Regions from separate parts of the Mus musculus genome. Here regions 1, 3 and 4 are each reported to be linked to region 2. The links are microRNA targets in miRTarBase. Many come from high-throughput screens and were not tested one by one. Region 2 holds a microRNA gene; each other region holds the end of a gene's coding sequence.

The links. Region 2 holds the annotated microRNA mmu-miR-3085-3p (UCUGGCUGCUAUGGCCCCCUC, at 3,851-3,871, shown strand). A microRNA usually pairs through its seed, bases 2 to 8, with sites in the 3' UTR of a target mRNA and lowers its output. Matches are read on the target gene's strand: a 7mer-m8 pairs with bases 2 to 8, a 7mer-A1 pairs with bases 2 to 7 and ends in A, and an 8mer does both.
Region 1: the mRNA of Cpox is a reported target of mmu-miR-3085-3p. Seed matches in the 3' UTR shown: 7mer-m8 at 4,236-4,242.
Region 3: miRTarBase lists Aco1 as a target of mmu-miR-3085-3p. Seed matches in the 3' UTR shown: 7mer-m8 at 3,583-3,589.
Region 4: the mRNA of Tmem88b is a reported target of mmu-miR-3085-3p. Seed matches in the 3' UTR shown: 7mer-m8 at 4,146-4,152.

The regions. Positions count from the first base shown.
Region 1 is chr16:58,675,083-58,682,244 of GRCm38, forward strand. It overlaps Cpox (coproporphyrinogen oxidase), which reads left to right. Exons shown (of 7, transcript NM_007757.2): 5 at 160-378; 6 at 2,863-2,967; 7 at 3,588-5,309. The coding sequence ends at 3,675. Among named protein-coding and RNA genes, the nearest start is that of Cpox, 8.5 kb to the left of the region's middle.
Region 2 is chr19:42,276,518-42,283,965 of GRCm38, reverse strand. Mir3085 (microRNA 3085) reads left to right here and starts at 3,796; the gene lies at 3,796-3,884. It overlaps Gm34347 (a long non-coding RNA gene), which reads right to left and starts at 6,901. Exons shown (of 3, transcript XR_386718.4): 1 at 4,043-6,901. It overlaps Crtac1 (cartilage acidic protein 1), which reads left to right. Exons shown (of 15, transcript NM_145123.5): 15 at 286-931. The coding sequence ends at 404.
Region 3 is chr4:40,195,348-40,202,795 of GRCm38, forward strand. It overlaps Aco1 (aconitase 1), which reads left to right. Exons shown (of 21, transcript NM_007386.2): 20 at 898-1,083; 21 at 2,207-3,662. The coding sequence ends at 2,320. Among named protein-coding and RNA genes, the nearest start is that of Ddx58, 41 kb to the right of the region's middle.
Region 4 is chr4:155,779,497-155,786,944 of GRCm38, forward strand. It overlaps Tmem88b (transmembrane protein 88B), which reads right to left and starts at 6,378. Exons shown (of 2, transcript NM_001033394.3): 1 at 5,843-6,378; 2 at 2,095-5,029. The coding sequence starts at 6,106. The coding sequence ends at 4,772.

The DNA.
Region 1 (7,162 bases), not on the chromosome of region 2:
TGTAGAAAGTCTGGCTAGAGTCCTCGTTTTGTAGTCCTAGAGAAAACAAAGATACTGCTGGGGTGAGCCGAGGAGCGGGCGTTGAACCCAACGGATCGTTTCAAGTCGCACGCATCTCTCATCTTTTAGTCCATGCTTTTTCTCTGCTGCCCGTTCTAGGTGTGACGACTACTTCTTTATAGTTCACCGCGGGGAGCGGAGGGGCATCGGCGGCATCTTTTTTGACGATCTTGACTCCCCCTCCAAGGAGGAGGCTTTCCGCTTCGTGAAGACGTGTGCTGAGGCTGTGGTCCCTTCCTATGTTCCCATTGTGAAGAAGCACTGCGATGACTCCTACACCCCCAGGGACAAGCTGTGGCAGCAGCTGAGGAGAGGGCGGTGAGTGACAGGAGGGTGAACAGTCTACACAGCTCACAGACTTGGAGGGCCTCCAGGCACAGTGGCTGTTGTGCTGTTTTGGCTAAATACTTTATAACTAGTCATATTAATCCACGGTGATTTTTTTTTCTTAAGTAGACGAACATTAAAAATTAACTTAATGGGCTGGTGAGATGGCTCAGTGGGTAAGAGCACCCGACTGCTCTTCCGAAGGTCAGGAGTTCAAATCCCAGCAACCACATGGTGGCTCACAACCATCCGTAACGAGATCTGACTCCCTCTTCTGGAGTGTCTGAGGACAGCTACAGTGTACTTACAATAAATAAATAAATAAATCTTTAAGAAAAAAAAATTAACTTAACGACGTTGTATAATCAATGTCACAAGATTTACTTAATTCACCTGTATGTGTATTTGTGGTAGGCATTTACGTGGTAAGAACTTGTGGAATATTTTTCTCTTCATTTCCCAGTGACAGCTTCTACCTTCTGCTAAGATGAGGGCATCATTTAAGATTATTTTTTCTTCTTCTTTTGCTTATAAATTCAGAGTCACACTTTAAAATATTCGTCTTAAATATTTTATGAAGAAGCTATTGTAATACAGTCTTCGTGATCACCTTTACTTATTTTGGACCTCTTATGCACAACCCCTGTATGAGGGAGCCATTGTGTGTCTGGTTTTCCCAGGAAGCCTGTGGTATATATGGTGTTATCATATACGGACCATAAGGTGTCCTTACCAGTAAGTCCTTAAGCCCAAACTACACAGCAGGTCTGATGGCACACCAGATGTGAAAGTCCTCCTGTATCACCCATCCTTAACCTCGGCCCCTGATTGTATTGATGAATTCATAGGTGGCAAGATAGGTTGTGTTCAGGCTCAGTGACCCTCGTGAGCCAGCTCGCCACACCCACTCTCCCAGCCCCCGGCAGTTTCCTTGCTCATGTTAATTGCATGTGTACCATAAGTCGCAGTCATAGCCCGAGTTCTTCTAATTCCTGTTAACTCTCAGGCACCTGAGCCCTAAGGAGCTAAAGCTGTGCCTTGAAGAGGCCTTGAAGAAGTCAACTTACATGTTCCATGTTTAAAGATAAAATATGTTTGTATTTACCTTTCTGAGTTTGGGTGTTTGTTTTACTCACATAACTGTGTGCCCTGTCAGGTCCCCGTGTAACAGCCTAATGAAGTGAGAATAGAGTCAGTTTTCTTTTAGAAAATTTTAAAGCAATACAAGGCCCCCACCCCTGCCAATTTGTCACCCATATGCTTCCCATTCTGACCCCCTTTCTCTAGATTTATCTTGGGTCCCCTGAGGTTACTCACTCATAGCTTAGTAGGTCACTGATGTTCAAAAGAGAAGCTGTCTGCCACTGTTATCTTTGGCTTGGAAGATAGCAGTAGACTCTGGGGCTTTAGATAGCTCCAGCATCATCGCAAAGGCCCTTTATGGTCAGCGCTGGCTTCAGTTTCTTAGTCTAGTCATAACTTGTCATCTATATCCCCTATATAGATCTCGTCCCTCCCCTACCCCTAAAAAACCATTTTTATGAATCATTCTGAATTCTTTAGGACAGTAGAAAGTACAAGTTTAAATCTGAAGAGATTTTTGAATCCTGTGATGTTAACATCAGAAACAGATGTTTAAGCTAGATAGAATTCAGATCTGGTTCCCTAACAGTTAGTAGAAAATTTGGACAATACACTGAGCCTAACTTTACTTGATACCAAGATATTTTCATGAAGAAAAGAAGCAAAAAAACAAAAACAAAAACAAAAACAAACAAACAAAACCAAGTTAAGCTAAGCACTGAAGAGCAAGGCTGTAGCTTTCACAGTGATGGCTGTAAAGAGAGGAGGTATGAGTGGTCCCATCTCTGTTGATGCTGTGAACTCTGGCAGGGAAGGAGGCAGATCCCGGCTGTTTTAGTCACTGTTGCTTATAGAATAACATAAACCTATTCCTTATAGAATAATAACAGTAGTAGTAGCAGCAGCAGTAGCAGCAGTCGTAAGTTCCTTGCTCAGCAGTTCCTGGCACTTAACCTATGGAAGTTGGGTATTCCTAGTGTAGTATTGTGAGCCCCTGATGAAGCCCTTTTCCTGAATGCCTGTGCAACAGTGAGGACCCAGGCTGGGTTACCCAGGAAACAATGCTGCTTCTTTCTTAATTGTTGTGCGTGCCTGGTCCCAATTTGTGTTTGCACTGTTTATTCATGGGGAGAACATAACCTTGCTGATTTGTGGTTGCTCTGTGTTGGGCTCTGTGTTGGGCACAATCTGCATCCAATTGTTTGGCGGGTAGAATGCCCTTTTATTTACGCTTTCCAGAGGAGAGGGCTCGCTGGGCTGTGTAAGCTGTGTGCTGTGTGTAAGCTAGTTGGTATGAGATATGGGGAGAAGGGCCACTCTTCGTTTTCCTTAAGGATTTCTAGAAAGTTTCGCTCAACACACCTTTACGACTATCTGGTGTCTTTCTGACAGGTATGTGGAGTTTAATCTGTTGTATGATCGGGGCACCAAGTTTGGCCTCTTTACTCCAGGATCCAGGATCGAAAGTATCTTGATGTCTTTACCTCTAACAGCAAGGTAAGAAGCTGATTTGTCATAGTAACCCTTGACATAGTAACTCTGTCATAGTAACTCAGTGTCCTATAGTGAGTAACTCCTGTCATAGTAACTTCCTGTGCCCCATGGAATCTGCACATTAGCCTTGACAGGGTGTTACCTAATACTTCATTTATGTTTGTCTGATTTTTATAAGAAAACTGTGAGAGAATAAAGCCCAGATTGGATTCTGTAAGAAGTGACAGGATGTGTGTCCTATGCGCTTTGTATCTGAGGATGTGGAGAGAGCAAGTGGGAAGCTGAGTCTGGCCTTTCCTCACAGCCTTCTTTCTAGAAAGATACATTTGTAGTGTAAAACTTAAGCTACCTGTGTACTACCCAAGGCTCTATACTTTATGAAACCCAAGTTTGTAATGAAAGGATCTTAGTATTAACCCAGATATTCCTAAGACTTATTAAGAAATTTACTCTCTTAAGTAGCTGATTTTTTTATATATATATAGTAGAGACACAGTAGTCACAGTGGGGTGGAGGAACTATGCATTGTTTTTACTCTTAGGGTTTTATTCTCCATTAGTTATGTATGTCATTTATTGTTATTTTGTTTGCTTTTTTTTTTGTTTCGTTTTGGACATGCGTAGATGGGAGTACATGCATTCTCCCCCAGAGAATTCCAAAGAAGCTGAAATTCTGGAAGTGTTGCGCCATCCAAAGGACTGGGTGCACTGATGCATCAGACAGAGCCTTGCTCCAGGGCCTGGTGGACACAGGTGGTGTCTTCGTGCACTGTGGCCACTGTGTGGCAGGCAGTGTCTTCCGTGCCTTACTGTCCCCGCCTTCTTCACCCTGGGCACCCCGTCTGTGGCAGGCGGTTTTGATCTTTTCCAGTGCTGTGGGAGGAGGTGGCTCAGAGGTGGGTGGGGATGTCAAACTGTCAGATTCCTTGTCTGTGACATCCATTTGTACTTTTAGAATAATTTTCTGTGACCAGTCAGTTTGACATTGTGTTTCCAGGTCTTTGAGATAAGGGAATGTAAATACTATGATAGGTACCAGGAAACTCTTCATTTTATATGTTGCTTGAAGTTTTAGTTTTTGCTACAGAAGTTTATCAGGGAATACATTTTATCTTCATTAGTTCAGTCAGGATGCCCTTCTTGGGAACTTTGGAATGCAATTTGAAGCCAGTCCGTGGTGATGTTTGCCTTTAATCTCAGTATTCAGGAAGCAGAGGCTGGTGGATCTCTGTGATTTTGAGGCCAGGCTATTCTACAAAGGGAGTTCTAGTCCAGCCAGGGCTACACAGAGAAACCCTGTCTTGAAAAAGAACCAACCCCCCCCCCCAAAAAAAAAAACGAAAAAAAGAAAGAAAGGAAGAAAGAAAGAAAGCAATTTGAAGAAACATGTTTTTCTTTGTTGCTTTTGAAGTTTCTTTGACGTAATTTTCATGTATCTTTCTCTATATTCCAGAATATTATAAAAAAATACTCATTTTTTTTTTAAAGATAGCTATTTAAGAGCTCTGGAAATTTTCTTTAGTCAGTTTTTGTATTATATAATGATGACCTAGTTTACAACTGCAGATGGCATTATTATTATTTAAATAAGTGATATCTTCAGTGGTAAGGTTTTTGTGAGATCATAATTAGCTAACATTAGGATTCTATGTAATTTTGAAAGTGAAAGCTTATATCCCTGGATTCTGATACTTAAAAGTTTTATATTTTAGAGACTTAGATATGGGAGATTAGCCTAAGGACAAATGAAACACATTTTTTTTCTCTTTAATTAAAGAGAATGGAGTCTAACCTGGGCATTTTATATTTTTTATTTAAAAAATGGGCCAATAGAAATTGTGTTACTTTTTAAATTAGAGATTCTTCAACTTTTATCTTTTCTTTTAAAAGTCACAGCAGATTTCTTTTTCTTTCTTTTTTTTTAAAAATTAGGTATTTTCTTTATTTACATTTCAAATGCTTTCCCAAAAGTCCCCCATACCCCCCCCCCACTCCCCTACCCACCCACTCCCACTTCTTGGCCCTGGCGTTCCCCCGTACTGGGGCATATAAAGTTTGCAAGACCAAGGGGCCTCTCTTCCCAATGATGGCCGACTAGGTCATCTTCTGCTACATATGCAGCCGATTTCTTAATGTGTGGTTTACTTGTCTAAATAATAGTCTGACTGCGCTATGTTACTTGATTTATAATATATTGAATTTGTAAAGAACAATATTTAAATATTATCCTGGAATATGTTGGATGTATGTGATTGTGTTTGCCACTTTTAGGGTAAGAAAATCTACAGATTCTTCAACATGTCTTACATAGATTCAGCTAATAAATTTTATTATAACATAAGAAAAGTATTTGTTTCCTTTATTGTGATAACTTAGTACAAATATTTCTCGGTATAGTAGTAGTTCTTTATTACTAGATATTTTACCCAAGAGAGAGATCCATTTTTTCATTTTATTTTCTTAGCCATTTTACTAAAAATAGTTAAAATTAAAAACTCAAGTGCAGATTAGCAGGTAAATGGATAAACAGTTTGTGACTTATGCAGACATTAAAACTCAGCAACAGAAAGGAGTACTGCCTGAGAAATGCTAGTGTGCAAGGCATCAGGAAGATGTCAGAAAAGTGCCTGCTGTCCAATGTCACCTGTGAAGACTTCACCAGGGAAGCAGTCAGCGGCTGCAGGTGGGGCACTAAGGTGTTACCTGTTCTGTGGCTGAGGTGACAAAGGTGATTATACTCTGTACATTTATCAAATTCCCTTGAACTCAGCATTACAACATCAGAGAATTTTCTTATATCTGTAGGTAACCTTTCAGTAAAGAAAGACATAAGAACAGATGTTCACATACCCCTGTCTGGATACCTTTTAAAGAGCTAAAAATGTCAAGCTGAGCATATGGTTTAATGGCAGAGCCTGTCTAGCATGCATGAAGTCCTGAATTTTATTCCCAGAACTGGGGTGGTGGTGGTGGTGGTGGATCACAAAGATCCCTGGCTGATTTAATTGTATTTAAGGCTTGTAGGTGTTAGACACAGACACAGATGAAGTTTTAAAATCCTACCACCTTTGTTTGGATTCTTCAGTATCCACTCTGAACTCTGTCTGGAAGACCAGGAACAGATGTAAACCTGAAGAACATTCTTTTTTTTTTTTTTTTTTTTTCATTTGCTACACACACACACACACACAGTTGCTTCAGGCACACCAGAAGAGGGCATTGGATCCCATTACAGGTGGTTGTGAGCCACCATGTGGTTGCTGGGATTTGAACTCAGGACCTTAGGAAGAGCAGTCAGTGCTCTTAATCGCTGAGACATCTCTCTAGCCCTATTCTTCAAAATTAATTGCTCTTTCAAAATCTTATTGACATCTGTTCTGAGTTTACAAGGTGAAGGTACACCCCCATGTGGTATAAACACCTAACTCCTGTTGTCTGACACAGGCGTGTTGTTGGTTATAAGGGTATATCAGGCAAGATATACATACACAGGGACACGTATATAACTGCCATCCTACTACTGCACTGCGCTTGCTTAGATTAGTCGGATTTCTTTTACTGTAATGGAATACCAAAGGCTAGGTATTTCATAAGGAAAGGTTTAGGTTGTCCTTCTGGATGCTGAAAATTGAGAATCAGGCAGCTCCATCAGTTTGGCCTTTTAACGGGGCCTTTTTGGCTGTTTCACAATGTGTCAGAGAAGAGAGAAGTGGCCATCTACAGTATAAGCCAAGCAGGTGCAGGGGATGTCCTTTGTATCATTCTCATGACAACTGACTTCTGAGGAATCGTCATTTATCCCTTCTCAGAACAGTGTATCTGGTGACCTAACTCCCTCACATTAATCTGGATCTCTTCAAGTTTCCACCATCTTGAAAAACCCACAGAGAGGACCAAATCTGCATCGTGTGAACTTCCAGGAGTCAAACAACAATGGTCAACTAAGTGTAATACTTTGACATGCCCAGATCTGAGCCAAATAATGCGTTTCATTAGGACACAATCTTTCATGGGTCTTTTGTTATATTTTAACGAGATATACGTTACTTGAAAGTTTGAAACTGTGTGAGGAGCCTTGCCTGGGTAACTCAAAGTCCCCTCCATATTAGACAGTAGGGCGTGGTGCCTCCTGGTAGCTCAGCACACCCACCATGGGACAAGAGGGAAGTGTCATGTCTTGTGTTCTGGTCTAACCTCTG
Region 2 (7,448 bases):
TCCAGTTGAGACCATGCCAGGCTTGGAGAGGCCCTATCACTCCTGTCCCACTGGAAGGGCCCCGGGGTAACGTGTCCTGGTCTTATCGTTATCCCACTACTCGTGGTCCTTGAAGCAAGTGTTTTCATAGCTGGGATGCAAATAGCTCCTCCAAGTCACCTTTGGCAGATAATTTCTGAATTAGTGTTTGTCTTATCCTTCCTCCCAAAATCCTTCCTCCCAACCAACCCTTTGTCTCTCCCCATTTTTTTTTACCTCCCTGCGCTTTTGTTTGTTTTTTTGCAGCTCAAGTGGCCTTTTTAGGTGGGTACTCATCGGCTGCCTTTAGACTCTCTGAGCCTCTCTCTCAGGCCTCGTATCTTTCTCTAGGCCTGGGACTTTGCCTTCAGTTATATGCACTTTAAATCCCATCAATAAAGGAAAAAAAAATCTAACAACCTTTGTGGAAAACTATATCTCTCCTGCTGCCTACCTCTCTCCACACCCCATAGATCCCGCCATGTGCTCCTTCGAACGGACAGCAGGGGTGGCCATCTTTGAAAAGGGAAGTTTGGGAGATACTGATGGGACCTTAGTTGTTGGTGAAGCCTTTCTTTGCATGTTTTCTGAGAAAACAGAAAAAGGAAAACTATCTCCTCTACCCCACCCCTCCTTCCGTGAGAAGAACCAAGAGAGTCCAGTCATTTCTGTATCTTCGTGAGCTTCTTCTTGTTTTGCCCTTGACAAAGATGGCTCCTGGGTGGTTGCTGGCTCGGTTGATTCAGTAATGTATCCTGTGCCTGCTGATCCGGCCTGTGCTGCTGCTGCTGCTTTGTACAACCTGATTTCCTATGATTACGGAAGCCTTATTGGATTGGTGGTGGCGACGGAAAGGGAAAGGGTGGCCCTTTGGGACTGTTGATAAAAAAAAAATGCTTAAGTTTGAACTTGCTAAGTCTTCCAGCCTCTTTTCTGGAGAAATGATGCCAGTAGACTCTGCTGGATATTAGCCATGGGGGAGGGGGTGTCTGAGCAAGTACATGCTGGTTGGAGTGTTGAATTAGCTGTGACCCTTCCACCAGGGGGTACAAGGAAACAAGTCATGGCGTAAGGGAAGTGCCGTCCTCGGGCCCCAGCCGTGCGGCTGGGTGAAGGAAATACTCGGAGGACCAGACAAGGCACGTGGAGTGGGTGAGGGGCAGGCACGGAGGCAGTGCTGTATCAGTGCAGTATCCTTCCAGGAATTAACGTCTCCGTTCTGGAACCCCATTGCCTTTCCGTAAATGACAAGAGAGTTGGGTCAGTACATCCATACACCCCCTGTTCTCCCCAACTCCCCGCTGCGTGACTGGACATAGGTATGGTGAGTCTCCAGCAGTGCTGGTTTCTAGAAAGAACTTAGCAACTCAGCCTCTGCAATATGCTTGGGAGCCTGGGAGTGCCCGTAGCCAGAGTACTCTTTGGGGATGATGTAACACCACAGAATATGCTCATGACCAGCTCTGCTAGTGAAGGCCCATTATAAATCACAGATATATTCTTCATGGGGGAAAAAAGTCGCTTGAAGATATAATAAAATCATGCTTAAGAATGCAGCAAGCCTTTTAAAAACATATTTAACAAAAAACTACCCTTTCCTGATACCATAATAATATTCCCAATAAATCACCAAATATGAATTCCTTGTAGCTAGCGCTGTGTTTACACTCAGAACCAGAGCCTAAATGAAAAGTTTTAAAATGAAAACAGCTACAATTTCCCTGGGAAGCACATAACAACTTAAAAATCGTTCCAATTCCACCAGCACCGTCCCTACCCATCGACAGGGAATTAAAGATCTGCAAGGGCCCCAGACATGAGACTCAGAGAGATGAAGTGGTGGAGGTCACCCTGCCCAAGGTCACAGAGCCAGCTGGCCCCCCACACCAGGCATGCAGCTCTTCCTGCCATCATGTTAAGGGTGAGCGGCTGTACACTTGCTGCTCAGACCTTTCCCCGTTCACCCCGGAAGCCCTTGCCTTTTCAGACCTGAACAAGTGGATCTGAGATAGTAAGACAAGGAAGACCCAGAGCCCACGGGGACTGGTCGCAAATGCAGCGCAGAGCAGTAGGAAATGACAAGATAGCGAGCTCCATTGACTGGCCACACATGTCAGCATGAGAAATGGGAGTAGGAAAAAATAAAAATAAAAACCAGCGAGACAGCCTGCCAAGGACACCAAGTGTGACGGCCAACTCCAGAGGATGCCTGATCCCTCCCCCCCCCCCACCCCCGGTTGAGTTTCAGGCCACGGGGTCTGGCAGTGCCATTTCATCCTATCTGGTGGGAATGTCAGGGGAGTCAAAGAAAGAAGTTCAAGGCTCCCTAACTGCTGAGAGCAAACTCAGGGTAAGAAGGCTTTCCGTGGCGTTCATTCATTCAACAGCTATTGGCTGAGCCCCTGTTCTGCAACAGGGCCTGGGTAGGGCTCTAGGTTTGTAACAGTGAGTAAAGATAACATGTTTGATACCCCACACGCACACCACCTTCCCTCCAGCTGGATGGAAAAAGCCAAGTATAGTGTGGGAGGGGACTATAAGGGGCTTTCTTAAAAGTCTAGCTAGGTTCTCAGGTTACTGCGCCTGAGAAGCAAACACTATGCATTCATTTATCCGTGTGTCCATTCAGCAAGTGTTGATTAAGGACCTCGTGGGTTTCTCATGAAGAAGGTAACCAGCTCCCCTCAGTGAGAAGGTTAAGTCTCCTACACCCAAGAAGCTTATATTGGAGGAAAAAAATACCAGGTTAAACTTTATGGAAGATGGGCAGACTCTGAACCAACCCAACATCACCTGCCCGCCACTCACCAGGCATCCAGATATTGGAGCTGGGTGCCCCTGGCTCCAGACCTTCATTTCACTTCCTGAGCGTTATCAGCCACGGGTGAGTGGGTGCAAGCTTCAGCAAGGCTTAGGAGGCCACTGTCCCCATCCCCTTAACTCCTCCACTTCCTCATCCTGAGGCTCATGGCCTCTGAGCCCTCGTTGTCCACTTTGGAGCACACACACCCATCTTTCTTCTGTCCCATAGACCCACTTAGGTCCCTGACATCTTTTTTTTAGGTTATGCTCCAAGTTGTAAAAAGTAAAAAAAAAAAAAAAAAATGGAAAAGCCACCTTCAGGGCAGGTGAATAACACATGATCAACTCTAGCCAAGGCAGAAGTGGGATCCTTCCCATCCTTCGTTCCATTTTTCAAGAATACCCCCTCAAAACGATCTTTAACAATTTTAATAGTAATAATAACTACAACAATAATATCGCTTTTACTCTGTCTGATGCAGTCTCCTCCAGGAATGTTCCCCCTCAGAATGACAATAATGGCTTTCAGTGAGTGAGCTCAGCGTGTCTAGGTTGGACATAAACTCTTTACAAGAACCAACTCGCTTAATCCCTGCAGCAATCCCTAGAGGAAGAGGCTATAATTATAGGGGTGGGTTAAGTGGTTCCTCGGGATCACACAGCTGGGATAAGCAAAGGTGGGGTGGCGTCCCAGACAGTCTGGCTGTCTCCCACTAGCATGCTTACCTGCCCTGCCGTGCCTACCCACTTCATTCAGGTAGCCAACTGGTTTGGGCAGAAGCCACAGTCTCTCATCCTTCTCCAAGTCAAGGGCTAAGTGGGAAGGGAGAAACAGAGTTCCCAGAGAGCTGAGAATTGAAGCAATCCTACCAGAGTCACACCAAAGCCTGCAGGAAGAGCAGGCCACACCCACATGGAGAGCGCCCTCACCAGGCCAGCCTGGTCACTTTCTCCAGGTCACCTCCATCACCAACAGTCCCAACTCTGGGAAGGTGCCATTCCGAGGGCCAAGAGTCTGAATATGAGTCACTCTGGCTGCTATGGCCCCCTCCCAGGGCTTGGGCATCACATCCCTACCAAGAAGGCTGGACCAAGCAAGAACTCCAACACAGCCTCTGTTAGAGGAACATGGAGACAGAGAACATTTCATCATTTCATCATCTCAGGGTTCCAGAGATTCCAGACTCCAACTTCAGGAGGACAGTCAAATCCCTCCCCTTACCTCTCTGCCCATGGTCACCGCTGTCTCATTCCTTTTGTAAGCTCAGTAGCCAAGCCACAGGGAGTCAGAAACCTGCCAAGGGCTGAGGTTGTGTTTCCTTGGCAACAGGAACATCCTGGAAGGAGGAAGAAGGAGGCAGGCAGCTAGGGCTAGTTAACAGGACAGATAATCCCACTGTCCTCTGCCCTCAGCAGCTCTGCCCTCTTACACAGCACTGTGGAACAGTGGTTCAGTCAGAGGGTAGACCATCAGAGGAGAAATGAGAAGCAAGAAGACACAAGAGCATCCTCGGGGAGAAGTTAACATTTACGGAATGCCCACTATATGCCAAAAACTGCATAGATGTCTGCATTAATCCTTACTCCATCCTGAAAGGCAAATGTTACTGGTCTACTCTATTACCAAGGAAACTGAGGCTTGGGAAGAACAAGCTACACAGGGTCAGAGTTCACTGAAGTGGCTGACGATGTAATTTAGACCCCAAACTGTCTACTCTGCAGCTTGGGTTCCTAAGCTGTGTGCTTTCAGTTTCCAGGTAATTTGCACCTGAGGGAGTTATGTAACCAACTGGTCACTGATAATCAAATACAGACCACTATGTGCTGCACATTATTCTAGTGGCTTTGGATATTTATCGGTGAACAACACTGGCAACATCTCTTCCATGTTGACATTTGGCAAGGCATGCTCGTATAAACATGACGGTAAAAGTCTTGTGTGTTAGAAAATCCTGAGTGGGGGAAGAGGGGAGACATTAAGGGAGTTTGTGAGCACCTGGGTAGAGGCAAACTGTTACTTTAGGTAGGGTGGGCCAGAGTGCTCAGCCCCTAGAGGAAAAAAAAAAGATATTTAAGATTTAAAGTATTTAAGATTTAAAGTAGGTAAAATATACTTGAATCTCAGTTTCTCGTCTCTAAAATGAGTATGAAGCTTACATTTATTAAACTTGAGTTTTAGCAGTAACGGATACCTCACAGTTATTGTATTAAACTTGCCACAGTGTCTGGCATGGAGTGCACCTCCTATAAATCAGAGATCTCATTATTAATAAATACCACAATTGATGATGGAGCCAGGTTCTATTTGATGTCAAAGCTCCCATGCTCCTCAACAGTTGTGCCTGGAACAACCAGAGGTGTGCACTGTCTGCCCTGGGATGCTGCAGGTAAGTGAGAAAGAGACAGCAGGACCACAAATAGCCATCAAGGGGCAGAGGCCAGCTCCCTGGCCCTGGCATATGCCAGGTTCAACATAGTGCTCACGGGGCATCATTGCCAAAGATATAAATAAAGTAAATAGAGCTGGGTAGGCATGAGGTCGGCTGGGCCGCACAGAGCAGAGGCTGCTGGAAGCCACGGCACTTTTCTAGACAGTCTCCATCAGCACTAACAGACTCCCCAAGCAGCTAGTGCCAAGGCACCTGAGAGGTCTTCTAGTTCTGCCGCATGCTTTGCAGACAGGGAGACTGAGAACCATAGATTCTGCGACCCCGTGGGTCCTCCTCGGGGTCACACTGCCCCTGGCTCTTTTGAAGACCTCAGGCCAGGGTACGACTCCCCACTTCCTTCCCCAGAAAGCTCCACTGTTTCAGAAGCATGCGACCACGGTTTTAAGACTAAGTGGGTGGAACTGATTCCTCCCACCAAGTGACAAAAAGAACCACACGCTTGATCCTGGAAGCACTCCAAGACAGAGGCACCCTCTCTAGGAGACCCCTGGGCAGCTGGGAGTAAGGAGGCAGGTCAGGAGCTAGCAAGGAGGGGAGCAAGGAGAATCTGCCACCATTCCTAGGGAGCTCTGCTCAGAGCCCATCCATGCCACCACACCAGTTTGTGAGGAAGAAGAAAATCCAACTGAGGCCTCTCATTATCATAAAGGTAGCTCCTCTCGCATGGCCAGTCCCAGAGCAGCAACAAAAACTCCTACCCTCCGAGTGGCTGGATGCCCCTCCAAGCTAAGGGCTGACTTCCTTCCCTCTGTGGAAGGAGAAACACACCCCAGCTCCCGACTGCTCCTGAATGGCAGGAGAACAGGTAGAAACCAGACAGAGGAAGGCAAACCAGATGTACCCATCTCTGCTGTTCCAGGAAGATGCAGAGAAGAGAAAGGGGGAAAATTTGGGGTTGGCTCTGGGACACTGTCATTAGAATAGTCACAGTAGCTCAGTCCAAACAAAAGGTTTCCCATGCACCAAATGCCACAGCACTTCTTAGAGGTCTAGAACTAGGTCCCTGTGGCCTTCCTTCTATCCATCTACACTTGAATTTTTCTCTTCACTAAGAGACTATAAAATCAAAGGCTGAGATTTCCTGCCAGACAATCCACCTCCACACTCGGAAGTAAGGTACAGTGTCTCCCCCTCTGAGCCTCAGGTTCTTATCCGCAGAGTGGGGTAGTAACAGCCTTGAGCAACGGCAGCGAGGCTCCCTCCAGGAAAGGGCTCTGCGCAACACCTAGCTGATGAAATGCGGTATTATTATTATGAAATCTGTTCCAAGGCCTTCAACTCCTGGCTGCACTTCTTGTGGTGCCAGACTTTACAACAATCCATAAGTCATTAACCAGGCAATATTAGACCTAGAAGACTTCTTCCCAGCAAGACACATCCATCACTCAGTTACAAATGCTGAACTCATTTGGGGATGGGATAAACAGAGTCTCTGCTTTGAAGAGTCCAGGCCTGTGTTGTGAATGGCTCAGGAGAACACAGGGCCAATCAGTGCTCGTTCATTCACCTGCCTCTCCAGGGTCTCCAAGCATCCATCTCCAGCCAAGCAGCCCTCTTAGTCCTGACCCATCAGTCATTCCCTTGAACCCATACTTTCTGTATCCACCCACATATCTGTCAATTCATCTCTGCTCCATCCATCCCCATCCATCTATCTATCCATCCATCCATCCATCCATCTATCCATCCATCCATCCATCCATCCATTCATCCATCCACCCACCCATAGTATTTTACCCTCTAAATATCTAGGCAAATAAATAAATAAATAAATATAAAAAAAATCATGAAAGTCCAAAAGGATTTTCCCTGCTTGAAATCATGGTGTTCAGGCAATATGGATGAGGGCTAAATTGAGCCAGGACATGTTCTTTGTCCCCCTCCTCTCCCAGAAGATCCACAGAAACGCAGCCAGGGTGACCTTACTGAGAGCTGTGGCAAGCTCGGGGGGGATGGCCAGACCATTGCCTCTGCCTTTTAATTGAGTTATTTGGTGGCCATTTGCCGTTCAATTGTATCGCTCTTAAGCACTGCCTATCCACATCTGCCTTTTGGCAGCACATTGCCCAGGAGCCTTCAGAATGCACAGCTGCATCATCTCCTTCTTCCTGGCAGCCCGCGATAGGCTGCATCTCCCATTCAGTGCCCAGGGCGAGGCATTGTGACAGGCACCTGAGG
Region 3 (7,448 bases), not on the chromosome of region 2:
TGCAACAGCTTCAATACCTACTACTTTACAATCAGGTTCTTCAAACTTAAATGTAATATCTCACACACACACACACACACACACACACACACACACACACACTCACACCCCTGCAAGGTTCTGGTGCAATAGATTTGAGGCTGTATCTAAGGATTGATAACTGACAGGAAAGCGTAGTTACCACAGTTCTCTGCTGTATTGGTCACTGCTGTATGTTGCCAGTTGCACACTAACAATAAAAGGCCCTTTATAGGAAGCTGCATAGCAACACTGTTGAGTGCAGTTTGATCCTGAACTAGCAGGTGGGAAAGCTATGCATGCTAATCGTTTAATTAGTAGTACATTCTGCATGTCAGATCTGATTAAACCCTTGGTGTCTGCTGATGTGTGCCCACAATAAAATAAAACCCAAAGAAAGGAAAATTATATATATATATATATATATATATATATATATATATATATATATATATATATATATATATATATATATACACACACACATGTATATATAATTTTTTTGAGATACGTATTCTAAAGGGCTCTTGTGTCTCAAAGTGGTTCAATGCATGGTCAGACCTCATGGGTTCCAATACTGCATCCCACCACTGAGACTCCCTCAGTGAAAGGTAGCTGTAATAGCATCGGCTGGATCTCGAGGCTACTGGAGGGCAGGAAAGAATTCAAGGAGGTGTTTACAAAATGCTGGTGTACGATAGGCAGTCGGAGACGACTCACCACTCAGCTATCTCTAACCAGAGGATGGCATTTGAGATGAAGGACCAACAGGTCTGTAATCTAGCTGTGAGAATTTCCAAAGAAGCGTCTTGCAAAGTGTCTGTGTACCTCTTAAAGAAAAGTTGGAGCTGTGTCTAAACATCTCTCTTGGTTCGTCAGGGAATCAAAGCTGTCCTGGCAGAGAGCTATGAGCGCATTCACCGCAGCAACTTGGTTGGCATGGGGGTGATCCCCCTTGAGTATCTCCCTGGTGAAACTGCAGACTCTCTGGGACTCACAGGTCGGGAAAGATACACTATCAACATCCCTGAAGACCTCAAGCCTCGCATGACGGTGCAGATCAAGGTACGCAGGGCTTCTGCTGGCACAACCGGCAAGGCCTGTTGTTTGTCATCAGTTGACAGAAGAAATTAGTGGGGTGGAGGGGAGTTAACTCCAGACGACATCCGATGTGAAGCCTCGTGGTCCTTCGTAGGATAATATCTGCTGGTTAGCATCATTTATCAATTCATTCTGAACGCCCATCCCCAGCCAGCCCCATTCTCTCCGTCTCTCTCAGCCCAAAGATTAGTGATGCAAGTTCAGAGGTGATGCTTTCCTGTTATCTAAAATTTTTCTTTTTTAATGAAATTGTCATCAACAAATTCTGTATGTACGCCCTCCATGACCCTCGTCCCAGGCCCAGGCTTCACTTAGTTAGCCCCATGGTTTTGCTTTAAACGAGAAACGTCCCCACAGTCTCTTCCTGCATCTGAACTCTCAGTAAGCAGTGCTCGCTCGTGCCTCCAGGAGGTTTAGGTTGTACGCCATGCTGGGGAAGGAAGTGTGTTACTGGGGGCCGAGTTGGAGAGTTCGGAGACTTACAGTTGCAGTTCCCTCGAGTGCTCATCTTCCTCCTGCAGCTGTGGCTCCCACCATGATGGAGTCTGAGAACCATAAGTTGCTTTGGTCATGGTGTTTTCTCACAGCAACAGAAAAGTAACCCATGTCGAGGTAATGACACATCGTCAGGAGAGGCGAGAGTAAAGTGCCCTCTGCCAAAGTCCCAAGGGGATTTGACACTGCAGAGACAGCTGCTGAGGTCCCAGGATGACCCAAGGCAAGCAGCTGGATCAGCTGCTTAAGGAACAACCCCAGAGACCTCTGCTGCCCAGAGCATGTCCAGAAAAGACTTAGGGCAAAGCGTCACAGTGTCACTCATAGCTGCTGCCCTGAGAGGACACTTTGTTCTCATGTGCTACACCTGTGTCATTAATTCTGCAATGCTCCTCAACCTCTGGTGGGCACATAAATTCCCAGGGTTCTTGTTGGGTGCAGAGACCACTGGTTCCATCCGCTGCTGGCACTGTGGGCATATACCACGCCCCAACTGAGGCCAGTGGGCAGCCAAGCCAGGCGGAGTCTCCCTGAGGTGGGAGTCTCGGTTCAGCCCCGCCTTCAGCAGCGCTCTGCCTCTTTGCTCTTGCAGCTGGACACTGGGAAGACCTTCCAGGCCGTGATGAGGTTCGACACTGATGTGGAGCTCACGTACTTCCACAATGGAGGCATCCTGAACTACATGATCCGAAAGATGGCCCAGTAGGTGCTGACCTCTCAGGAGACCCGCACTTGGTGCTAGACCCAATGAGGAACCAGGCCCCCACTGGTGGAGGCCTGGCAGAGCAGCCACATCTACTTCTGATGAGGGTGCTGGCAGGATGAGCAAGTGGGCACTGCCATTCCTGGAGGCACAGAGCCAGGAGTCTCTAGTTTTGTGATTTGTTCATCTTTTTATCCCTTTCTGTAATCTGGATTCTAGAATCACGGGAAGGTCCGTAGTACCAAAGAGAACTCGCTTCTCTTTAAAGTCACGGACATTGATTTTTTTCCCTCTGACTAATCTTGAGCTCAGCACTAGCCAGTATTCTCAGAAGTGGCTCCTACCCTTTCTGTTGTTCTGTGTTTGTCTCTGCTCGGTGACACCCTTCCCTGGAGAGCCCAGTCCTCCGTGTATTACACCAGTGTTAACTGACATAGCATAGACCTTCTTCACACTTCAGATTCATAGCAGCGATGGGATCCCTTCCTTTGAAGTGAACAAGTCCTTGTAGATAGGTCACCCGTCAAAAGTGTTTGATTATCTACCTTTCAATCAACATGAGATTGCCTCTTACCATTTTCAACGATTGTTGACAGGGGTCCTTTGTTTGAAAATAACTGGGGAGAGATACGGGATTTCTAATTTGAATAAGATTAAATATATTTTCATGAAAACGTGTTGGCTTTGGAGTTGAGTTCTGTCGGGGGAATGTCGCGACACTGAGAGCCCCGGAAGTCCTTCGAGTCCTTCGAGTCTGCTGTTTGTACCCCTGCGTCTGAGCTGCGGGCACAGAGGGAACACTGTGGAGCCAGCGTGTGAGCAGCTAGTGTCAGCGCAAAGGACAAGAAAGCACCTTCTGTCTTGGTCACAGCAGCAGCAAAGAGCATATCGCAACTTCTTGGTGCCCTAAAATCTCTTCACTGATCTTCATAACTGGAATTATTTTAGGGTGTGCCTTATTCTGCTCAGGCTGCTGTAGCAAAATGCCTGAGTAAGAACCAGAACTGAGAACTGAGCTGTGAGTGACCCAAACCCTGAGCCTTGTCCAGACCACCCAGTGCCTGTGATGGAGTAAACATTCCGCTGGGGGAGGGGTTGCTTTGTCTCTCTTAACGTTTTATCTTTTCTTTCCTTCTTTTCTTTTTCTTTTTTTCTTTCTTTCTTTCTTCTTTTTTGTTGTTGATGTTGTTGTTGCTGTTGTTGTTTGGTTTTTTTCGAGACAGGGTTTCTCTGTATAGCCCTGGCTGTCCTGGAACTCACTCTGTCAGCCAGGCTGGCCTTGAACTCAGAAATCCACCTGCCTCTGCCTCCCAAGTGCTGGATTAAAGGTGTGCGCCACCACCGCTAGACTGTGTCTCTCTCTTTTTTTTTTTAACTAAAAAGTAAAAATTGTATTTACTTCGTACATGATTTTTTACTATGTAAACATCATGGAGTGGCTGAATTGAGCCTCACATTCTTACTTCTTGTGGTGAGAATACTTCCAAGAATATATTTTTCGAAGAATATAGGATGTATAGATTTCAACAGCAATCTCTGTGCTGTACTGCTTCTTCCTCCTGAATGAAATCCCACGTTCTTCCATGTTTTCACGTATGGCTTGTACTATTTTCTCCATTCATTTCATAGCTGACCCTTCACTGCCTCCTTAGCTATGACGTCCTCTCCGCCCCCGTAACTACTGCCGTGAACATTTAGACATAGTGAGATTGTGCTGTTGTCTTCCTTTTGTGCATGGCCTTTTTCATTTAACACAATGTCCATAAAGTTCATCCCTGTTGCCACAAGTAGTGTATCTGTGTGTACAGGCGTGTGCCCTTTGTTGTCTTTACTGATTCAGCCGTGGGTAGACAACCGGGCAGACGCTACCCTAGCTTTGTGAGTAGCACTGAGATGAATGATGCTGCAGGTGTTCCTCAACAGACTGGCTTGATGCCTTTGGGTGCATACCTAGAAGTGGAATTCCTGGGTCATAAGAGTGGCCTTTGTGACTTTCTGGAGGGCTCCATACTGTTTTCCTGTTACATGTACCTGTATATGACCTCCTACTGTGTGTGCATCCCCTCTCCCGTACTCTCAACAGTGCAAACCTTGATTTTTTTTGATATGGTTTTAACTATGGTTTTATATGCAACTCCCTGATGATTAGTGATGTTGAGTATATTTTCATGTATGTATCAATCACTTTTGTGACTTGTTTTGAAAAACGTCTGTTCAAGTCCATTGCCCATTTTTAATTGAGTTATTTCATTTTGTTGTTGAATTTTAATACCACCTATCCTAGATAGTAAGTATTTATCAACTATTTTCTCCTATTTTGTAGTCAGTCTTAACCCTTGACTATTTACACGGCTAGAAAACTTTTATTTGGAAGCAGTCTGGTGGGCCCGTTTTCCTTTTCGTTGCTGAAGACGTAACTATAAATAGCGCCATAGCATTTCTTGCATTTATCTAATCCTTTCTTGGAGTGAGGTCTTATGCTTAAGTCTTCAATCTGTTTTGAGTTGCTTTTCATATAGTGTGAGATAAGGGTCCAGCTTCGTTCCTTTGCATGTGGACATCCAGTTTTTCCAACAGCATTTATTGAAGACAGCTCTTCTCCATTCACTGGGTGTCTTGGCTTCCTTGTCAAGTCCTAGCCACGCCGGTGTAGGTCTACTTCTGCGGCCTCTGTTGTTTCCCATTGGGTTCTGCATCTCTTCTTAGGTTAGCAGAATGCTGTTTTCATTGCTGTGTCTTTGTAATATATTTTGAAGCTTGATAACGGTAATAATTTCAGTTTTGTTTTCCTTCTTGGCATATCTTTGGCTGTTGGGAATCTTGTGGATCTGTGTACATAGTAAGGAAGCTTTTGCTTTTTGGGAAAATACAGCATTGGGAATTTCCTAGGATTGCACGGCATCTGCAGATCATGGTGTTAGCGCAGACATGTTAATAACTTTAATTTTTTTTTGTATGGAATTTAATTTTCTTAAGCCCCCGTATGGCTCATTAGTTGTTCAGGAGCATAGTATTTACACATTTTTTGCACATCTCTAAAATGTCTCCTGTTACGGGTAGGTGAGGACTCACTTCCACGTGGCTGTGGATGTCCCTCTTGGCCCCTTGTATGCGCGGTGATGTTCTTTGGTGGAGTCTCCTGTCTGTCTAGTGGAGGTTTGGAGTTGTGATTGCAGTGAGCCTCAGGAGTCCAGTGATACCGCAGGCTGTTTTAAAAGCTGGGCGCACATATGAAAACTTGCTCTTCCTCCGACATTTTGTATTTTAAACACCATGCTTAACTTGTTTGTATACTGTGCACCTAATAACTCATGGTTGTGATTATCATTTTAATGGTGTTGTCTTTAAACCTTTAAAGTGGAAGTAAATGGTTGGAAGGTTTGCATCCCATCCAGTAGCGTTCTCGTTGGATCTGGACTTAGTTCCTTTCCCTGGGAGTTTTATGCTTTTGTGTCTTTCCTTGTTTCTAGTGTCGGCTTGAAGAACTGCCTGTGGTGGGGATGTTAGGATGGCTCCCTTGTCTTCTATTTGAGAAAGCCTTTATCCTCTCTTCAATTTTAAAGAACAGCTATGCCAGGAACGGGATTCTTGGCTGGCAGTTTTTAGGGGTGGGACTCTTGGATCTTGGCTTCCTCAGCCTCCAGAATATCTAAGCTTAAGCTGACTCCTGTGTGAGATTTTATTGTAGCAGCCCAAGCAGACTCAGACGCTGCCTGTGAGGGAAGTTTCCAGTGGCTGCGCCTCTAGAACAAGCTTCTTACACTCTCCACTCCTCTAGCTAAACGTGGCTGCTGTTCTTTGTGCTTCAGTATTGGCCAGTACCCAATGCTGGCCCAAAGCTAGACTGTACATCTTTTTACCTGAATTCTTAAGGCGGGGCTGGCCCACCTACTCCCATCCCTTCCTTCATCTTATAAAAGGGATGGATACCTCCTTTGTGTCTAAGTCCGTTACTGCCTCCTCCTTCCTAAGCAACAGGCCTCCCTTGGCACATCCATAGTGACCTAAATGGCATTTACTTAACACAGCAATAAAGTGCAAGTACCTTTCAAGTGTGTGTGTGTGTGTGTGTGTGTGTGTGTGTACGTGTACATACAGTGTTTTTGTGTTTCATAGAAAAAGATTATATAAAGGAAGAATATGTTAGTCAGGTCAGTCTTGGGGTGTTAAAAGGATGACTCAATGTGGCTTAAGCAAAAGAAAAAGTAAACTGGTCCATGTAACTAAAAAATAGTGACACCATGGCCTTGGGCTTATTTGGTTCTAGTGATTTAAACGTAGGCCGCTTACCTGTTCGCTCCCCTCTTAGCTCATGTTCTAATGGCCTCTGAGACAGCATCTGTTTATATCTCCTATTCTGAGTCCCTCCAGGGTCAGGGTTATGGCTACCATTAGCTGTTTGGTGACAGTTAATCACTTGTCATTGTAAACATCTGCCTCAGGCACAGACAATAGGACTTTCTACTCATCACTGAAGAACCTTAACTTTGGTATAGCCTCTCCTTCAGGCCTGTGTTAGTGTCTGAGTTACTTTTCAGTTGCTGTTGGGAATATATCCTGACAAAGCAACTTCAGGGAGAAGGTTTATATTGGTGAAGGGTTCCAGACCTGGTATCGAGAACATGGCAGCAGGCAGGGAAGGCACGGTGACTGAAGCAGAAGGCTGGCCAGCCACATTGCATCTCCTCTTAGAAAGCTGACTGAACAGGAAGAGGAACCAGCTACAGAGTCTCTAGATCCATCCCCAGTGACACGCCTCCTCCAGGGAGGCTTCATCTCCCACAAGTTCCCCAACAGCACCACGCTCTGGAGCCCAAGTGTTCAAAGGAGGCTACCTTCAGGTAAGATGGCATGGAGCAGCCCATGGGTTGTACCGGACTGAAACAGCCTTGCTTATGAACACAGGAACTGTGGTTCTACCGGCTCTTTAGGAAGTTGTTAAATGTTGTAAGCACAGATGTACTTTAACACTCAGCTAATTTCTGTTCTCTTAGTCAAATTGCCATAAACAAAGATAATCATAGCTGGCATTTTTATTAGGAGTTTTAAAAGTTCGCACCCAACAAGCCTGTACCTGTTTATTAAACACAGATTTGTAAAATGAAGTCGTAGTTATATTTTATGGTGTATT
Region 4 (7,448 bases), not on the chromosome of region 2:
CCCCACCACCACCCCACACCCCACCACCACCCCACACCCCACCACCACCCCACACCCCACCACCACCCCAGCCCCACCTCAGTTCCTGCCTCTACCAGAGATGCCTGGGAAATAAGCAAGGCTAGAGCTTAAGCCCGGACTTGAAGCTGGATGGGCAAAGCTGGCTAAACACAGAGTCACTCGTGGCAGATGCTGTCTGCGGCCATGCCTGCGAATACTTTGTGAATGAATAATTTAAATAAAGTGGGAATCTCACTGAGCCCAGTCTCTTTAGCTGTGATAATGCTATGACTCAAAGCTTAAGAGGAGTACAGACAGGACACAGCCTTGCATATGTGCCTACCCCAGTCAGGTTCCTTTTTATAAGGCAGGCCCTGAGTTACTGGGAAAGAAGTCTGCATCCAAGTGGAGGTCTCGCCTGGCGCGCCCTGAGGAACCGGTGAGGAGGGAGGAGACAGAGGCCCTCAGAAGAATTAAGGTGCTCTGAACTCTCAGGCCAGACATGAGGATCCTAGGTTCTAAATGTTTCTGTCATGAGCTTGTGCTAGGTATGAGTTAGGAGATAGACACTTGAAGGGACTAGACACAGTACTACCAAGGCAGGAGACAGTAGGTTATGCAGGCCTACCTCAGAGATGGGACTGAAGGCCCAGCCTCACACTTTCCTTTCAGCCCCAAACCCCCCTTTTCGGACCTGTCCAGTGGTGGTGGAGTGGGGGACAGTGACCCCAGATCTGTGTCTGGTTGTATGGTGAGCTAGCTTGTCTCTTCAGCCCTCAGGCTCTAATCTACCAGCTGGCACATTTCTGTCCTTCACAGCTAAATACAGACCCCAGACCTCTTCCACAGATCTCCCATGACCTCCACAGCATTCCTTTTTGTGTGTGTGATGCTGTGAATAGAACCAAGGTCATGTCTGCCCCCACATAAACACCAAACTGTACCCTTCTATATCCAGCTCCATTCACAGCACAGTAGTGTTTTGTTTTGTGACAGTCTTATTTTGTAGCCCAGGTTGGCCTCAAACTCATAGCAATTCTCCTGCCTGAGCTTCCCCAGTGCTGAGATTACAGATATAATCCACCATGCTCTGCACACAGTGTTCCTTTGAAAGCATGGCCAGGAGAGAGAGAGAGAGAGAGAGAGAGAGAGAGAGAGAGAGAGAGAGAGGAAAAGGAAGAAGAAGGAGAAGAAGAAGAAGAAGAAGAAGAAGAAGAAGAAGAAGAAGAAGAAGAAGAAGAAGAAGAAGAAGAGGAGGAGGAAGAAGAGGAAGAAGAGAAAAGAAGAGAGAAGAGAAGAGAAGAGAAGAGAAGAGAAGAGAAGAGAAAAGAGAAAAATTTGGAAGATTGGATTGAAGTAGGTCATCCCACTGCCCTCCCTTGGACATCCCCATGGCCACTGGAGGACACCCAAGGCTCAAGATAGGCTTGGGAAGCTGGGAAACACCTTTCGGAAATGGAATGTCTGAGGCAGCTGCTGTGACAGAGTTCCTCACCCCACCAGCAGCCACTTAAGCTTGGGAGTTGATTTCTACAGTCACCTCCCCACCCCCACCAGGCCCAGCTGTTGTTTTGATGACTGTGGGGCCAGGCAGATCCAATCCTCAGCCAAGAGTTTCCCAGGAGAGTGTTCATCTTCCACCTCTGGGGTTGGCCAGCAGAAGGAAGGCAGCCTCATTCCGGAGGAAGCACTCCTGGGCCGCTTGGCGACCAGCTGGCTCCGTCATTCTGTCTGACCAGGAAAAGAATCAAAGCTGGACACGGATGAAGGCTGGAAAGCCCCAAGACACACAAGGCACCCTACAGACCGGACTCAGCCACACACTGGGCTACGCTTGAGACTACAAAATTCACTCAATCCTAGTTAGGCTGAGGTCTGACCCTGGCTGAGCCACACTGGCAAAACAGTGTGCTGGATCCTTTAAAAAAAAAAAAAAAGTTAGGTCTGGGCATGGAGGCATGTTCATAATTCCAATATGTGGGCGGCTGAGGCAGGAGGTTCATGAGTTCTAGAGCATCCTGGTTAGAGTTGCAAAAGTTAAAGTAAAAACAAACAAACAAACAAAAACAAAACAAAACAAGTCTGATACAATTAGATTCCAGGTAAATTATAATGAGCATATTTTTAACATATTGCTGGGCTTACAAGAAAATATGTCTCAAACAACCCCCCGCCCCCAACAATTAAACATTACAAAAACATAAACCAAGGGACCAGAGAGATGACCCATGGTGTTAAGGCACTTGCTACCAACCTTGACAACCTGAGTTCCATCCCTGGGACCCACAACTCCTAAAAGTTGTCCTCTCTGACTGTCACAACACACATACATTGTGGCACATGCACATCCATACATGTACACACACACACATCTAGCAACAAGCTAGAAAGTGGTGGTATACTCCTTTAATTCAAGCATTCGGGAGGCAGCGGCAGGCAGATCTCTGAGTTCAAGGTCTGACTAATCTACAGAGTGAGTTTTAGAATAGCCAGGGCTACACAGAGAAAACTCGTCCTGGAAAAAAAAAGTAATAACACAACAATAAGAAGCAACCAGCATATTGAAGGGAACTGATAGGAAAATAAAGAGTTCTCTGAACACAGGACAGAGAGACATGCTGGGGTGCAGAGAGGGGAAGGGGCGAGTACTCTGTATTGAGGGCCATGAGCTAGTGCCATAAGGGAACCTAAGATGACTGGTTGTTTTTGTCTCTGGACAAGACTATTAAAGTTAGTGCCTGCCTTAGGTTTCTATTGCTTTGATAAAACATCAGGATCAAAGGGCTGGAGAGATAGCTCGGTAGTAGCTGCTCTTCCAGAGGACCAGGGTTCAATTCCCATCACTCACGTGGCAGCTTACAACTGTCTGTAATTCCAGATCCAGGGGATCTGACACCTTCACACAGACATGAATGCAGGCAAAGCCACCAATGTATATTAAATAAAATAAATTATTTAAAAACAAACAAACAAATAAAAAAAAACTCAAGACCAACCAACCGAGCAGTGGCACACACATTTAATCTCAGCCTTTGGGAGGCAGAGGCAGGTAGATTTTTGTGAGTTCAAGACCAGCCTGGTCTACAGAGTAAGTTCCAGCATAGCAAAGGCTACACAGAGAAACCCTGACTTAAAAATAAACAGATAGGGGCTGGAGAGATGGCTCAGTGGTTAAGAGTGCTGACTGCTCTTCCAGAGGTCCTGAGTTCAATTCCCAGCAACCACATGGTGGCTCACAACCATTTGTAATGAGATCTGATGCCCTCTTCTGGTGTGTCTGATGACAGCTACAGTGTACCCATATAAATAAATAAATACATCTTTAAAAACAAAACAAAACAGATAGATAGGCAGGCCGGCAAACAGACAAAAGACAACCCATCATGACAGGTTTATGTCATCTTACATTTCCCAGATCTCACTACACTAAAAGTAGTCAGGGCAAGAACTCAAGGCAAGAACCTGGAGGCAGGAATTGAAGCAGAACCTTACAACCAAAACAGATCTGGAGGGCTCACTCAGTAGTAGAAGTAGTAGAATTTCTGTTTTAAAATTAAAATGTTCAAGGCTTAACCCTGGATGGTAGCACACACCTTTATTCCTAGTACTTGGGGGTGGGGAGTGGGGCAGAGACAGGCAGATTCCCTGAGTTCAAGGCTAGCCTGGTCTACAAATAAAATTCAAAAATAATAATTTTAAAAATACTTTAAATTTTAAAAATATATCCACAGCTAAGGCTATAGCTCAGTGGTAGAGTGCTTGCCTAACATTTATAAGTCCATCCCAGGACTACTAAAAATAAAAAGAAATAAGATATTCTATAAAAATAAAAAGAAACAAGATATTCTAGTTCTAGTATGTACGAGTCCCAGGAAGAGGAGAAGATAGGAGACAGGGAGGGAAAGGAGAATGATAATTTATGCGTAAGTAGGAACATGTTAGTCAAACTGTAGCATGCCAAATACAAAGATAAATCTTAACATTACCCACATTGTAAAATGAGCTCGTATTCTGCCACTTGTCTCAAAAGAAAGACCCCTGGTCAGAGAATGAGCTCCAGTTCTAGATATGCGCTGATACCTGACCCCGAATGCAAGCTGAGTGCTAGGAGCTGGAGAGATGGCTCAGGGTCCTTTAGAAGACAGCTGGCTGCTCTTCCAGAGGACCCAGGTTGCAGTCCTAGAACCCACATTGCAGCTCGCACCTGCCGGTAACTGCAGTTCGAGGGCTTGTGACACCCCCACATAGATACACATGCAGGCAAAACATCAATACACACACGCACAAAAATAAATAAATAAAAATAAATTACATATTAACAACGACACGCCGATCCTGCACTTACACTGAATCACTGATCCCAGATCCTATCTCAAACCTGATCCGGGCAATAGTTTGACCATGGACCCAACTGATCTTTTGTCCTGTACAAGGTCAAGACCTTGGAGGACTCAGCTGATCCCGCAAGTTGAGCCATGACGTCTGGTTGCTACTGGCTACACCGGAGCTTCTAGAATTATGCGTGGTTGGGGGGGGGGATTCAGAGATAGCTGCCAAGTCGGCTGCTGACCACAGAATTGGGTGGAAGACATAATATGCTTTTCTGCTTTTCTTGAAGGGACACCCTTTCTCCCTCTTCTGAGGGACCCTGTTGCCATCTCCTGGCGACTTCGAGCACTGCTCTCAGAGCCCCAAAGCAGCCGCCCGAGTCATCCACTTTACGGGGGTCGAGGGACCTGGGAGGCTCTTGACGCGCAGAGACCTTGAGGCGTCAGACCCAAGCACAGAGTTGTTTGTCCTCGTCCGGGTGGCCGTCGGCCAGATCTCCGCTGCTCCTGGGCGGGCGGCGCGGAGCCGGGGTCCTCGCGGGATCAGGCAGCGCAGGGCGTAGTCGCCGGACCAGGAGGGAGCGCGCGGCGGCGGCGAGCACCACGAGCGGCGGCAGGGAGAGCAATCCGAACACAATGAGCGCCGCGGAGCCGCGGTCCGAGAGCAGCGCTCGGCACCGTGGACCCGGAGCCGGATGAACCTGTGGACAGTGGAGGCGTGCAGTCAGGCGGGGAGGCCCCAGAGCAGCGCAGGGGTGAGGGAGGTCCTGGGCCCCGAGCTCAGGGCAGAGTCCAGAAAGAAAAGCGTAAGGCTGGGAGGCCTGCCTGGAGGTGGAGCCTGGACAGAAATGCGAGAACAGAACCAAGAGTGTGTGTTCGGGGATTCCTTAAGGAAAGGCCAGAGAACCTCCCTGGCTCTCCCAACCCAGTTTTCCTGTCCCCATATGAGCTTCCTTCCATGCCCCTTACCTGTTGACAGCTGATATGGCTCCATCTGGACTGTCACCCAGCTAGCATCGTTTCTCTCTATCAGCTTCAGAAAGGGGATATAGGGGTCGTCTATGTATAGGTCAAGCCTTAGATGAGCGGAAGCCTAACCAAGGTCAAGAGGGTTCAGGGAAGGGCTGTGGGGGGGAGGAGGTGGGGGGGAGGAGGTGGGGGGGAGGAGTATGAGGAGTGGAGAAGCACTGAGGACGGGTGAATCTGACAATTTCTTTTCCTATCTCCACATCAACCTCACTGACCAGGCCCTAGTACCTCCTGGTACAAAGCTAAGAGGCCTGGGGGGGGGGGGCGGGGGGGGGGAAGCAAGACAGCTGTTCACCGAGTAACAAAGAGACTTTCTTTGACTGCAGCTGGCAGGGATGTTGGCATAACAGGAGGATGCATATATCTCTGGTTACAAAGGGGCAAGGCTAGAAGGGGGTAGATTCACCTTCAACCCCAAGGACTTGAACCTCCACAGAACTCTCACTTCCCCACTTCCCGGGGACTAACCAATGGCTACTGCTCACCCTTGAGTGACACAGGAATCCCAGGTAGACAACGGCAGCTGCTGGTAGCAACACCAGCAGGAAGACTGTTCCAGGTAGCAGCAGATGAAGCAGGAACCCAACTAGAGCCCGGCCAGACAGCACCAGGGTCCCGAGGCCTCGGGTGGCCAGGATAGGAGCCAGGACTGAGATGTGGTAATCAGTAGGCCTTCTTCGGGGTAGCATGGGTGCTGTGTCTGAGGCAACGCCTTCATCCTCTTCTGTCTCCCTTTCCTGCTCACTCATGTCGTGCCGCGGGGCTTGAAGGATGTTCCCCCAAGATCACAGTGGTAGGCAGCAGGCCTAATCCCCCTCCTCCAACCACCCTAGGCCCAGACTAGAGAGCCTTTTACCCTCCCCAGATTCAGTTCACATCTAGATCCTCGCCATCAGAGAGTAGACTCTCATCCAGTTTAATCTAGCACTGAATATCAGTCTCCAGGGCTACACCTCTGCCACAGTTTCCCCTGCTACCTTGTTGGGCCTCTTTACCAGGCAAAGGCAGGCAGCGCCTATGTGCTCGGCTCAGGTCTTACAGAGCTCTTCCCATCTGAGCACTGGGGCCCTCCTTTCTCTCAGCCCATCTCCCAGTTCTCCCAAACAATGGCTTCATTTCACAGATCTTGGCGATGACAGAAGCTCTATCAATAGCTGCCATTTAGGGACGAACTATTAACTCATTTCCCAGTACTAGCCCCTGCACTTCCCCTTATCTGACACCAGGTGACTTCATGTTGTGGAGTGATTCACAGCATGACAGGGTTGTACAGTTAGTAGTGCTTAAGGTAGTACCCGGCACAGAGTGGATACCTAATTAACAGCAGTTGCAGTTGCTCTGTACTAAATCCAATCAATCATGGAAGTATACAACAAGCCTTTCAGATGATGGGAGCATATAGTCCACTGAAAACTCCAGCCCTCTTCTGGTCTTCATAGGCACTAGGGATGCTTGTAGTGCACATACATACATACATACATACATACATACATACATTTGGGCAAAATGTTCATACCCATAAAGTAAAATAAATACATCCAAAAAATTTTAAGTGTTGTAAATTATCTCCTTACTAAGCACACATTCTTGTAATTTACACACACACACACACACACACACACACACACACACACACACACACACATATCCTCTTCCACTATGGCTAGACAAGGCAGCCCAGTTAGGGGAACAGGATCTACAGGCAGGGAACAGAGTCAGGTAAGCCCCAGCTCTGGTTGTCAGAGAACTCCCATAACAAACCACAACCACCAGCAACCAGCCAACAACCCACCGCACCTCTCAAGGCCCTAACATTTCTATACTCTGTGAAAAGTCCCCAGAATTACAAACATCACACAATCACAGAAATTATCCGCACCTGGCAAAATCACACCTGTTAGAGAACAAGACAAATGATAGCCATCTCCTGTGCACAGTCCAAAGCAGCTCCATATCCCTATGCCTAGAATCAAAATGAAAACACTACCTTATAATATTTCTGTGTTTTTCAAGGAAACCAAAACTCCAAAATTGTCAGTACAGGTTGTGAGTCACCTTGTAGGTGCTGAGAATCTAGCCATGGTCTTCTGT